Arabidopsis thaliana: one gene and its partner. The protein of the gene in region 2 interacts with the protein of the main gene of each other region in a pairwise test. Each region holds a gene or a part of one and is shown on either strand. Other genes may lie near its edges.

Region 1 (4,100 bases), on a different chromosome or scaffold from region 2:
TTTAGGTAAACCATGAAACTAGCTGCAAGTAAAGTACCTTTCGTGTCCTTTAACCACATTTTGTTGATGTAGTGGCGATACAGACGCAGTGGTTCCAGTGACTGGGACTCGACTTGCCCTCAGTAAACTCAATCTTCCGGTGAAAACTCCCTGGTACCCTTGGTACTCCGAAAAGCAGGTAATTTTCATCAAATTCGTGGTTCTATTCTTATTATGCAGAGCTAGTGATTTCTCATGGTGGTGGTGTCAGGTGGGAGGATGGACAGAGGTATATGAGGGGCTTACCTTTGCGACGATAAGAGGGGCGGGCCACGAAGTGCCGGTGTTGCAACCCGAGCGTGCTCTCACTCTTTTAAGATCGTTCTTGGCCGGCAAAGAGCTTCCAAGATCTTATTAGTCACACACATAAGATAGAAGGCTCCCTCCAAAACCCGAGTTAACTCGGTGTTTTCTTTTGAAATTTTTATGTTTCAAATCAACTTGATTTCATAAGACACTAAAAGCATTCTTGTATTCGAAGAAGATATATGTTGATACTAGAACAATTGTGTTGATACCTTGGGAATAAAATTGCAGAAAACCAAAAGTTTCAAATCTTTTATATATAATTCCATAAGAGTAGAGTACAAAGCTCTTTGCTTCTGCCTGACTGATATACAAACAAACAAAAAAAGCCGAACCTCTCATACCTGAAAGTTGAAATGAAACAACAAAAACAGCTTCTTACTTCATTCCTTCGCTGAGACCCGGTGGCATTCCTAAGCTCTGCGCAAGGTCACTCATTCTCTCTTTCATAGCCTGTGAAAAAATTCACAAAGTTCAATTAGAAGAAATGGATAGAAACAAATACTTTAGTTGCATTGTGATAAATGGTCTGCAAATTGCTATACCACCACACTCTTGGCGTGTGCGTCCTTGTATGCTTCTGTGACAAGTTGTGATAGTTTCTGCCAAAGGAAAACACACAACATCAACAAGAGAAACTGATGAATTAGCTTTGACTGTTCCATAACAAGGTACGTATGGTTACTCACTTCGGAACCTAGTTCCATTGCTGCCTCGGTAATATCAGTACGGATTGGTTGCTGGTTACCTGATAACGTAACCTGACACAAATTCATAAGGTTTAGGTCATCAGACTTTGTAACAGAAACAATAAAGACTAAACAAAGTTTTGAGATTCTAGAGTGGAGTTCTTGCCAAATCATCCAAAGACTAACAAATCAGAAAACACAGTTCTTACATCATCAAGTAAACGTTAGTTAATACTTCACTGATCTATTATGTGCATTGATCTATCTTAAGGCCAAAACAAGCTCTAAACTGACCTTGACAAGCTCGCCTGCACAATAACCATCAAATTCTGCGCTGCGAAATTGGAACAAAACCAACATGCAAAACTCATTACTCATAGAAGAAAACTTCCTCAAATTTTGTATGATAAATGTGCCGGACTTACGCAGCTAACTCTTTTTGAACACGTACAGCTTCCACTTGAACAACCATTTGAGCTTTCTTCACAGTCTCATACATATTCTGCATATTACCAAATATTCCTGCCTAGGAAAGATCACACACAAACTTCATTAGTTCCAAAATCATAAACTTTGAATCTTTACAACATGAAGCCTAACTTAAAATGTTCACCTATTGCAGAATCTGTTTGATATTTGAAAAAACCAATGTAATGTACCAACCTTTGATTGTCCATCTTCACTGTTATTATCTTTGTTTCCACCTCCAAATAATCCATTCACTCGAAGAGACCTGTAACCATTTTTAGACTTGTACTGCTTTGGCCATGTTCTTCTCTGCGAATTCAAGCTCGCATTTCCTGAAACTATTCAAACCAAAAAATTACTAAAGCCCATTTCAATCCCAAAAACACTTATAAATACAAAATTACGCTTCAATTCCTCCAATTATGGAATAGAAAAGTCTAATTACGAAAGATTAAGCAAATTCAGATGAAACCTAATGTACGACAGATACATAAAGACTCAAAATCCAGTGTCACGAAACCTTAAGCGAGAGATAGAAGTAGGGATTTAGGAGAGACTAACCATGAGAGAATGGAAAGAGCATAGATTTGGTGAAATTGGTGGTTGCAGCCATCGACGCCATTGTTGTACGAGTAGAGAGATATTAGAGAAGGGCTTTTTTTCTGAAATTCGAGAAGATAAAACCGGAAGCTAATTTTTTCCGGGCAACTTGTTCGTAGCTTCTGTGTTTGTTGAAGCTTTTAACCAATGATTTTGCGCCACGTCACTTTAACTCTTTTTTTGAGCTTAGATTGTTTTTGTACCATTCTTTTCTAGTGAAGAAGTCGCAACTTTAAAGTTTATACACTTTCAGTACGAAATTGAGTGATCAAACGTAAAATGTTCTTACATCAGATATTGATTCGATTTTCGAAAAATTCAATTTCTAGTATAGATGAAACTTTATCAGAGATTGTAACATGCTTCATTAAACCAAAAAAAAAAAAAAACATGCTACAATAGAACCATCTTTCGTGGTTCTATGTATGGGACATGGTCATATGTGTTGTGGTCTTGTGGAGCTGTATTGCGAGAAGAACTATTGATTGATTGTGGAGTTGTCTATATACCCTCTATGTATAGAGAGACTCACCCCAAACATTTGAAATACCTCTAGGCAAACCATTTTGGGCCTCTCCTGAAAGAAGACATTTATCATCGTATCATGTCCAAACAAACATACTCTGCTTGTACAGTTGTAAGTTTGTAAAACATATGATAAAAGCATAAGACAACACACACTCCAAAATGCAATCATGATCTATACACTTATTCTGGTCTCTCTAATGGCATTGGTTATTATTCTCATGATTCTCAATCTCACAACAAAAAAAACATCATGCAAATCTCCTACTGTCACATTGCATAAGAAAAAATAAAAATAAATTCATGAATTCAATCTCTGATTCCTCATGGTATATTGTCATGACCTAACAAAGGTTTTTTTGGTAAAAAAAGTTGATATAAAATAATCTAACAAAGTTACAAAGAATCTTCTATGACTTCTCCAAGCAATGAACCTTACCTTGTGTATCATCCATTGCTAGAGATACTGATTCTTTCTGTCCTGGATCAGCATTCAGAGATCTCACTGGGACTGTAATGAGTTTATTCTGCTGTTTCTCAAGCAAAGCCATGTGTTTTTTCCCAAGCGTATGATTCCTCATCGTCTGCTCAGAATTCGTCTGAATATTACAAGTTTTGCACCAAACCGTTTCCTTCTTTTTCTTCTCACCTTTTGTCTTCTTTCCCGTTGTTTCTTTCGCCGCAATTTCATCTACTTTTTGACCCTGCGGATTAGCATTTTCACATACTCTAATGGCTTCTGGTTGCGGTGCTGTAACGGAAGCAGGGGATAAGGAGGTTGAAGCAGCTTCAGGTGTCTCATTCTGTTGTGTAACAGCAGCCTTATGCTTTTTACCTAACTCATGATCCCTCATGACTATTTGACAATAGGTCCCAACTTTACAAATCTCACACCAAAACTTCTGGTTAGTTCTTAGCTTACCTTCTGCTTTCTTTCCACTGCCAAGTTTCCCTGAACAAGGAACCTTCGAAGAGACTATTTCTCCGGTTTCCAAAGACATCGCCTTTGCTTCTGATTCTTTTGCTTTCGGCCTTTTCACTTGAAGATCTTCGTTCAAACCAGTTTGAATATCCTCTGCTTTACGCTTTTCTCCTACAGGATCAGCTCTAGCCTGCAATAGTAATCAAAGAGAACACATATGGTCAGGATTTGTTATAAGCAAGTAAGGAAAGTACGTGGATAGAAAAGATGAGATATCACACTCGTAGTAAAACACTTACCAATACAATAAACTGCTCTTTGTTAGACTCCAAAACTGATGTTCCTGTAGCCTCAGGCATTTGCTGAAGTTTAGGCAATTGCATGGTACCAACACTGTCTGCTTTAGGCTTAGCTCCTATAATATCAGCTCTATTCTGCAATAGAGAAATCAAAGAGAACACATATGAAACAAAGGCTTATATATACTCTATCATTTATGTTTACCATTACTTAAAGAACTCACCAATACAATCAAATTCTCTTTATTAGAC
Region 2 (7,649 bases):
CTTCACAGAGTCGTGAAAGGAGGAGACGTGATTTACGGGTCAAGAGAACGTGTTCGGGTCTGGGAAGGGATCCGCTTCGAGGTGTACATGAGTGAGGAGAGGGTGATAAAAGGTATTTTCAGAAAAGACGAAGGAGACAAGTGGAAACTTGAGTGCGAGTGTGAGATGGAAGAGGAAGGAGCGGCGGAAGTTGTTGTTGCGGCGGAGGGACACGTGGCAACAGCGACGATGGCGAGGAAACATAGAAGAAGGAGAAAGCAAAAGATTGGGTTTGAGTGTTTGGAGGAGATACCGGAGGAGAGAGAGGAAGGGAGGGATTCTGACGGCGGCGTGTGTTTTTGCACGTGTAGCGGCGAATCTGACGACGGAGAGGGAGAGTGGGAAGAGGTGGAATGGACGGCTGAGATGGAGTCTGAGACAGAAGGAATGGGATGGGCCGTAGATTTGGGGATTTGGGTTATGTGTTTGGGTGTGGGCTATTTAGTGTCTAAAGCCTCTACCAAAACCTTGACAAGTGGGAGAAGAAGAAGGACAAGAAGAACCTTCTTCTAATTCCTTGTGTAATCAATCAATCAGTGTAATTGTACAATAACGTTGGAACATAAATGTAAAAAAACCATGATTTTGATTACAATAGTCGAGAGTTCATTTTTCTTCGAACATAGAGCAATGAACTTTCTAGTTTCAAATTTTCAATTGAATCCTCTCAACTTGAAAAAATAAGGTAAAACCAGAAGATAATGTTTAAGAATGTGATGAAAACACAAAAGTACATCAATCAATTTGCATTTACAAATTACAATACACAAAGAACCCAAAAGAAGAGCTTTCTCCTTTATCTCACTAGTAAATTATGATACACCAAACAAAATAAAACAAAAAATGATCAAAACGTGTGATAATAAATATATAAGCAAATATATGTGGGGTTGAGACCCCCCAAAGGAACTTTCTTCTCCTTTTCTTTTATTTCTGTATTCGTTTCTGTTGTCTTCAACTAGTAGTTTACATCAGAAGCAGACATCGGTCGTATCTTGTTTTAGTCGTCATTGTCATCGTCTGGAACCTACACTGAACCCAACTAAAGAAATTGATATGCTCTATGCCTCACTGTCTCTAAGCTCTTGTCTGGTTATTACTGTTATAACCAAAAGAGACTTCACTCTTTCTCCTACAGGTTCTGTGCAGTTCAGTGTTTCCAGTGTCGCTTTCCCTCTGGTTACACTTAGTGTTCGCGACCCGTGAATGCTTTCAATTTCTGTTGCAGCTGTACACACAAACATAAACGAAAGATTTGCTTGATGACACGAAACACAACAAGCAGATTATTGCGTTTTAACGAGTTGAAAATGTGTTAACTTACTTGGCTGTATTTTGATTTCTCTATATCGAGTTCCTCCGTTAAGTCGTCCAGCCTGAAGATTTTGGCAGTTAAAGCTTGCAGGAAGATCCACTTAGAAAGACTAACTACATTATTCTTTAGAAACAAAAGCTTTGCTTGAAGAAGAGGACTAACCTAGCACGGAGGTCGGAGATACTGCTAAGAAGTAACCTCTCCCTCTCTGAAGCCACAGGTTCAACCTGTTATCCATAGTAATAGTTACATAGCTGTGAGCAATATCTTTATGAAAGTTTTCAGAACATATATGAAAAATCAACTTACGTTTCCATTACTGTCTGAGCGAGGCAAAGGTGGTAACTTCCCAGATTGAGAACCTATAAGAAAGATGAAGGCACCGTTACTGAATAGTCTTCAATCAATAATAAAGTCACAGCAGATTGAAGTATAATTGTCTATACTACCTTCTGTTGCCTCCACGGGTTGTAAGCTATTTAGTAAATTCATAATAAGATCCTGCAGCGAAATCATTCAATTGCAGAAGTTAAGATCCTGCTAATTAATTAATAAGAGATAAGTCTCATGTCTTAATGGATGTTCCTCACCTGTTGTATTGAGTTTTGCTGGAATAGATGTTGAAGTTGAGGCATGATGGGTGAGGAAGACGTAGGATGGCTACTATGCTCCTTGATCGTCTGAGGCTGAGCTGTTGGCTGCAAGATAGAAATAAGACTAAGATTAAGATACAGAAATGAATGACTTGAAGGACACTTTGTGATCGCAAACTGACCATTTTGGGCTCAAGTATCCAGTTACCCACACTTGCAGATTTTCTCAGGGGGGTCGCCTGGAATTATGTATAATTTATCAGGTAACTAACAAAGGTGAAGAACCAGTCTACAGTAATAAGCAGAGACAAGAAACCAACCTGTGGAGATCGACGAGGGACTATACTTAATGGAACATCCTAGAGTAGATTGTATTGTTAGTTACCGTCAAAGAAATAGGAAAATTAATAGCAGTAAATTAAATACCAACCTTCGCAAGATCTACATTTCCTGATGTTACTGAAAATCGTCCTTTCTGAACCAGATTAGCCTTTGACTTATCATCCAGAGAATCACGGAATCCTATTCGAAATGGACAAAACCTTTAACTCAACTGCAAGAGAAGCAATAAAACCACTAAGCTGGACGAAGACTGCCTATATCACTTGCTCACCTCCTGAGTATTTGATGGGAGCAGACAAACTGTTTGAAGAAGCACGGGTTGAAAGATTCAAAGGACCACTAAAGCTGGGTGCTCTTCGGACTGTTGGTGCCGTCTGCGGTTCACTCTCGGATCTAGCAGATAGAAAATTAACAAGTTGGATTGTTTGAAAGGTACTATATATAGGACAAGCAGATTTAAAGTGTAGTCTCAAACAGCAATTAGCAAATGTCAAACCTTTCAAAGATATGACTTTTCTCTGAAGCCGAGTGGCTTAATACAGTCCTGCTTGTAAGTGGTCCACTCTGACTTTGGCGTCTTAATGGCTTAACCTTGGCCTCGGGAATGTCATGCTCTGAATTTGGTGACATTCGTTCTAAAGAAGAAGTAGTTGTAACGAAAGTGAATTTCTCTTTGCAGGTTGGTTCTTCCACCTCAGTATTGGAAACCTTTTCTTTTCCGTTCATGTTTTCATATAGTTGCAGACTATCAAATACTTGCTCTCTGTCATTCACCTGCAGGGATTTTCTAAGATATGTTCAGACAACCAAACTTGCATACCAAGGAAGTGAAATTTTATAGATGCATTTTTCTGAACTTTATCTACATAGTACTCGCCTTATTAAACTGTGCACATAATATTTCTTCATCTTCCTTACTCTCTTCTAGATCATCATCATCAATTAACTAGTACACAAACAAACAATATAAAAACAGGGATTATGTGATGAAACCAATGAACAGAAATTTAAGGATAGTGCAATCACAGATAGCTTGCGAGAAGTAAATTACCAAAGATGCTTGTGTTTTCAAGTCTCTGACGTCAAAGTTCCAAGCGCTCACTCCTCTTTGGTATTCGCTCTGACATTAAAAATATTGTTTTATGCCCACTCTGCAATTCGACTCATTAAGTATTTAGGTAATGTTGTCAATATAAGGGGTGTGTCACCTGTGATATAGCTTCCTCGTCAGCAGTGGCCATTCTCTTTAATGCAAGCTGTTGAGCATCCTTATCCTGTCATATAACAACCCGATACAAAAGGTAAGAACATCATCACTTCCACAAAAAAGCTGAAACACAAAGAGCATGGCTAACCTGAAGAGATTTTACACGTGTCCAAAGAGGTGGTAAATCGGAAAATAAAATTTTCACAGTTTGCTCTGGAGGCTTCGTGTGTTTGAAACAGGAGTGCTTCAGCAGTTTTTCAGCAGTTGGCCTTTTTGTTTGATCTTTCACCAAACACATTGCAACCATTTCTTTAAAGGACTGGGCACAACTGAAAGTCCTCTAGTTAGTTTAGTAAAAATTTATTGCAAATGAAAAAACAGAAAATCTAGCAAAACTAGAACAGCATAAGAAATACACCTAGAAAGAACACGAGTACCTTAGAAAATTTCTTATCACGGTCATAATCAAGGCCAGGAGGTGCGTTTTGAATAGTCATTAGGAGCACCTGTAACCAGGGAAAAAAGAAAAGAATCAGAACCGTTTTAATAGATGCAAAATATACACATAAGCCGAAAAAGAGAAAGAAATACTAAGCACCTTCATGGGAGGATATTTTGAGAAAGGTGCATGACCATGGGCCAATTCAAGTGCTGTTATACCAAATGACCAGATATCAGCCCTGTTAAGAAATGAGAAGAACAACCAACCAATAAGCAATTATTGCATTTCTTTGTTCCACAGTACAAATATAACTGATATGCATCACCAAGCAAATATGTTTACATTCGGATTAGAGGCAGAGTAGTTTGACAAGTTGTCTTAACATACATACATACCAAAGTACGCTACTTTCTATCTTAGACAAGCAGAAAATATAAACGTTTTATCTAGTATTTGAGCTTAAAGTAAACTCACTTGGAATTGTATCCATTTCCCGGCTGCAAAACTTCCGGTGCCATCCTACAAAACAGAAGCAAAGAGGTTAAATGTAAACCATTGAATCTAAGAGTGATGGTTAAAATACAAAAAGAAAGAAGTTAAATAACTAACCAGCAAGGAGTACCAACAAATGTGTTTCTAGCACGTTGCCTATCACCGTTATCAAACAAGCAAGCAGAGACACCAAAATCGCCAAGCTTAATCTCACCATTGTCATCAAGAAGTATGTTTCCAGCCTAAGTTGCAAAGAAACAACAAATTTTGAATATATTACATACATGGATCCATGAAGCTGAATTTTTTTCACTTTCACTAACCTTAACATCCCGATGGATATGGCCTTGTCTATGAAGATAATCAAGAGCTTTAAGAGTTTCTTTTAATACACAACATATAGCAGACTCTTCAAATCCGTCTGAATACGCAGTCTTCATAAGATGCAAACACGAACCTTGAGCCATGAATGGCATAACAACCCAAAGACTATGGTCGACAGAGAATGAACAAAACGACTTTATAACGTTGGGATGGTCTATCAAACTCATAGTCTGAGATTCCCTCCTAATATCATCCTATCAACCAAAACAAAAACAAAAATACATTAAATTCATAAAACAAGAGATCTACGACAAAAGCTAAAGCCTCTCTAATTCATAAGCAATAATAAGATGGAGGAAAACGAACCAGATTGCTATTGCAGCGATCGAGATCCAAACACTTGATGGCGACGACTTCATTAGTAGGGAGATAGATCGCTCGATAGACAACAGCGCTAGCTCCATGGCCTATTTCTTCCATTAGCTTATAGTCTTTAGGATTCATAGAGAAACCTCTCTGCTGCTTACTACTACCACTACCACTACCACCACCACGACCACTACTACCTCCTCCTCCTCCCACCATCTTCTTCCGTCGCTTTAAAACCGCCCTGAATACCACCAAAAATCAGAAACCAGTAATTTCGCCTTCAGATACAACAAATCAAATGAATTTAACACAGAAGAAGAAGAAACAAAATCTGGAGCTGAGAGAGATAGAGACTAGTAGTTTACTCGAGAACAAGTCGAAACCCCATTGAAATTGGATACTAATTTTTTAATTTTTTGTATAGAAAAATAATAATTCAGCTGTTTTTCACTTTCTGCTTGCTATATTTTTCTGATCAGTTGACCTCCACGACAAAACGCGATTTGAGAGCGATCGAAAGACAAAAGAACTGTTTTGTGCTGACGTGGTATATCTGTAAGCTTCTAAGATTATTACACGTGGCTTTACTATAAATAATGAATGGCTAGGAATGGCCTTGACCCCATCTACCTCTTTGGTTAAGTTCACAAGTCACTAATCACTTCATCACTTGACAAAGATAAATATTCCTCATAACTTTTTATACAAAGTTAAAAGAAAGAATTATCCCAACTGATTCATTTTTTATAGCAAAATTTGAATTATGTATGGATTCATCATTCTAAATTCAATATTCCTTATGATCATGCTTTTAAAATCAGGTGTAACTTTTTTTGTGACAAGTTAAAGATCATAAAAATCTAGGATGAAACATTTACATTTTAGACCAAAATTAATAATATAAAAAAAAACAAATAAAGTCTTCAAAAGAAGATTTTGTTCATTTCTACATTTTTAATTTGCTCTTCAATCTAGTCAGAGCTAGGAAATGGTCTTAAGAGCTTCATCTTGAAACAGAAGTCCAAACCTATGGACGCAAACGCAAATATCAAGACGCTCTGAGACACCAAAACGGCGCCGTCTATCCCATGTGAAAACAAGCTTTCCCAGCTCAGCTCCAATGGCGGTCCTCTGCTCAACATACCAAGTCCTATATAACACATTAAAAAAAATCGAATCTATAATAAATCTGTTTTTAAAAAAAGACAGATCCAAATAATACAGGTCAGAGACTAATAATCAACTCATCAATTATTTAGAATAAATCAAATCGTTGATTAGTAATCTATTACTGGCAGATTATAATTTAAAAACAACCAAAGGGCGGGACAACGATGGGAACTTTGCCAGCTCATACTTCCACACAATATATAACATGACAAAGACAAAGAAAGTCTTTTTCTTTTACCATTTCTGTTAAGCTTATTCAATCACAAAACGCAATTGCTTTTGAACAATTCAAAGAAGTTAGATAGAAACAGTAATCAAATGTGTTGTTACCTTTAACAAACCCAAAAGCTGCAACGGCTCCGGATTTGAGATGATTATCATCCAAGTCTCTTCTGACTGCATACCTGAATGTGACTCCAAACAATGCACAGCTTGCAAACGCTATTCCCAGGGGCAGAACAAGCTGCTCCATGCTTGCGACTTGAGAAAGAGCAAATGGGAGTTCCGCAATGGTCCCAACCGCAGCTGCGATCACTGCCGCTTTTGCAGATTCTAACCTCTCCTTGTCTTTATCAATCGAATAACCTTTCTCCGAACTTCCAATTGTCGAGTTATCTGCTAATGACAAGGAGCGTTCTGCTTCCTCAACCATTGATCTTGCTGCGTCAATCTCCTGCTGGCATTCTGCAATCTTGAATCAGATATTGAATAAGATTAACATGCTCTGTCTACAAATACAAAACCAAACTAGAGACTTTGTTCCAAAACACGAGAAAACACAAAATGCAACCAAACTCATGATTTAGTTAGTAACCTTATCTAATGAAGTACCTTCACACAAACTAAGAGAAACCCCATTTCCAGGTTTCAAGCACAAAAGCAACACCATTGATATTGATTGATACTTTGAATTACCTATCCTATCCTAAGCATACAATGCACAACTTGAGCTTATCCTGGCATATAAATATATACTGCACAAATTCACTAGTCCATTGTAATATAAACCAATCATTCTCAATGCAACCTTAATCTATACTCTATAGTAGAACCTCCCAAAAACCTCAAATTCCAAAGAGCAAAAGAATCAAATGTTCAATCATTTTCATATCTAACACCATTTCGAGAACAAGCTCTCACCTCTGCGGCTCTTGATTCGAGCTGATTAATATAATCCTGTAGCAATTTCGCCTCAATTTCTTGTCTCTCTATATCTTCGAGCTCTCTCTTCGCAATCTCCACTCTCAACGAAGCTTTTTCCAGACCATCAAGCAAACCTTTGTTCTCTTCTCTGCTCAATAGCTCCTCCACTTGATTTCCCACAATACCGGACAGAGAATTCTTCAAATCTCCGCC

The links.
Region 1: the proteins of AT4G24100 (region 2) and AT2G24020 interact in a two-hybrid assay, tested with the Arabidopsis thaliana proteins (one large-scale study listed by BioGRID).

What each region holds. Positions count from the first base shown.
Region 1 is NC_003071.7:10,217,146-10,221,245, forward strand, and holds AT2G24020 (Putative BCR, YbaB family COG0718), read right to left. Parts: upstream 2,324-4,100; 5' UTR 2,125-2,323; coding exon 2,064-2,124; intron 1,841-2,063; coding exon 1,698-1,840; intron 1,561-1,697; coding exon 1,460-1,560; intron 1,369-1,459; coding exon 1,329-1,368; intron 1,107-1,328; coding exon 1,035-1,106; intron 948-1,034; coding exon 891-947; intron 799-890; coding exon 724-798; 3' UTR 556-723; downstream 1-555. Other genes in the region: scpl23 (serine carboxypeptidase-like 23), read left to right, coding at 1-5, 73-178, 251-397; AT2G24030 (zinc ion binding / nucleic acid binding protein), read right to left, coding at 3,038-3,739, 3,849-3,983, 4,073-4,100. UniProt on the Arabidopsis thaliana protein: Participates with ALB4 in thylakoid protein targeting. May function with specific subset of thylakoidal proteins. Binds to DNA and alters its conformation. May be involved in regulation of gene expression, nucleoid organization and DNA protection.
Region 2 is NC_003075.7:12,512,913-12,520,561, reverse strand, and holds AT4G24100 (Protein kinase superfamily protein), read right to left. Parts: upstream 5,581-7,649; 5' UTR 5,512-5,580; coding exon 5,489-5,511; exon of another isoform or gene 5,365-5,488; coding exon 5,121-5,364; intron 5,009-5,120; coding exon 4,754-5,008; intron 4,673-4,753; coding exon 4,548-4,672; intron 4,458-4,547; coding exon 4,413-4,457; intron 4,177-4,412; coding exon 4,095-4,176; intron 4,003-4,094; coding exon 3,934-4,002; intron 3,816-3,933; coding exon 3,645-3,815; intron 3,564-3,644; coding exon 3,498-3,563; intron 3,410-3,497; coding exon 3,341-3,409; intron 3,236-3,340; coding exon 3,167-3,235; intron 3,064-3,166; coding exon 2,786-3,063; intron 2,683-2,785; coding exon 2,561-2,682; intron 2,470-2,560; coding exon 2,378-2,469; intron 2,307-2,377; coding exon 2,268-2,306; intron 2,187-2,267; coding exon 2,130-2,186; intron 2,053-2,129; coding exon 1,945-2,052; intron 1,856-1,944; coding exon 1,804-1,855; intron 1,717-1,803; coding exon 1,664-1,716; intron 1,582-1,663; and 7 more. Other genes in the region: AT4G24110 (NADP-specific glutamate dehydrogenase), read left to right, coding at 1-552; AT4G24090 (homer protein), read right to left, coding at 6,095-6,273, 6,624-6,984, 7,434-7,649.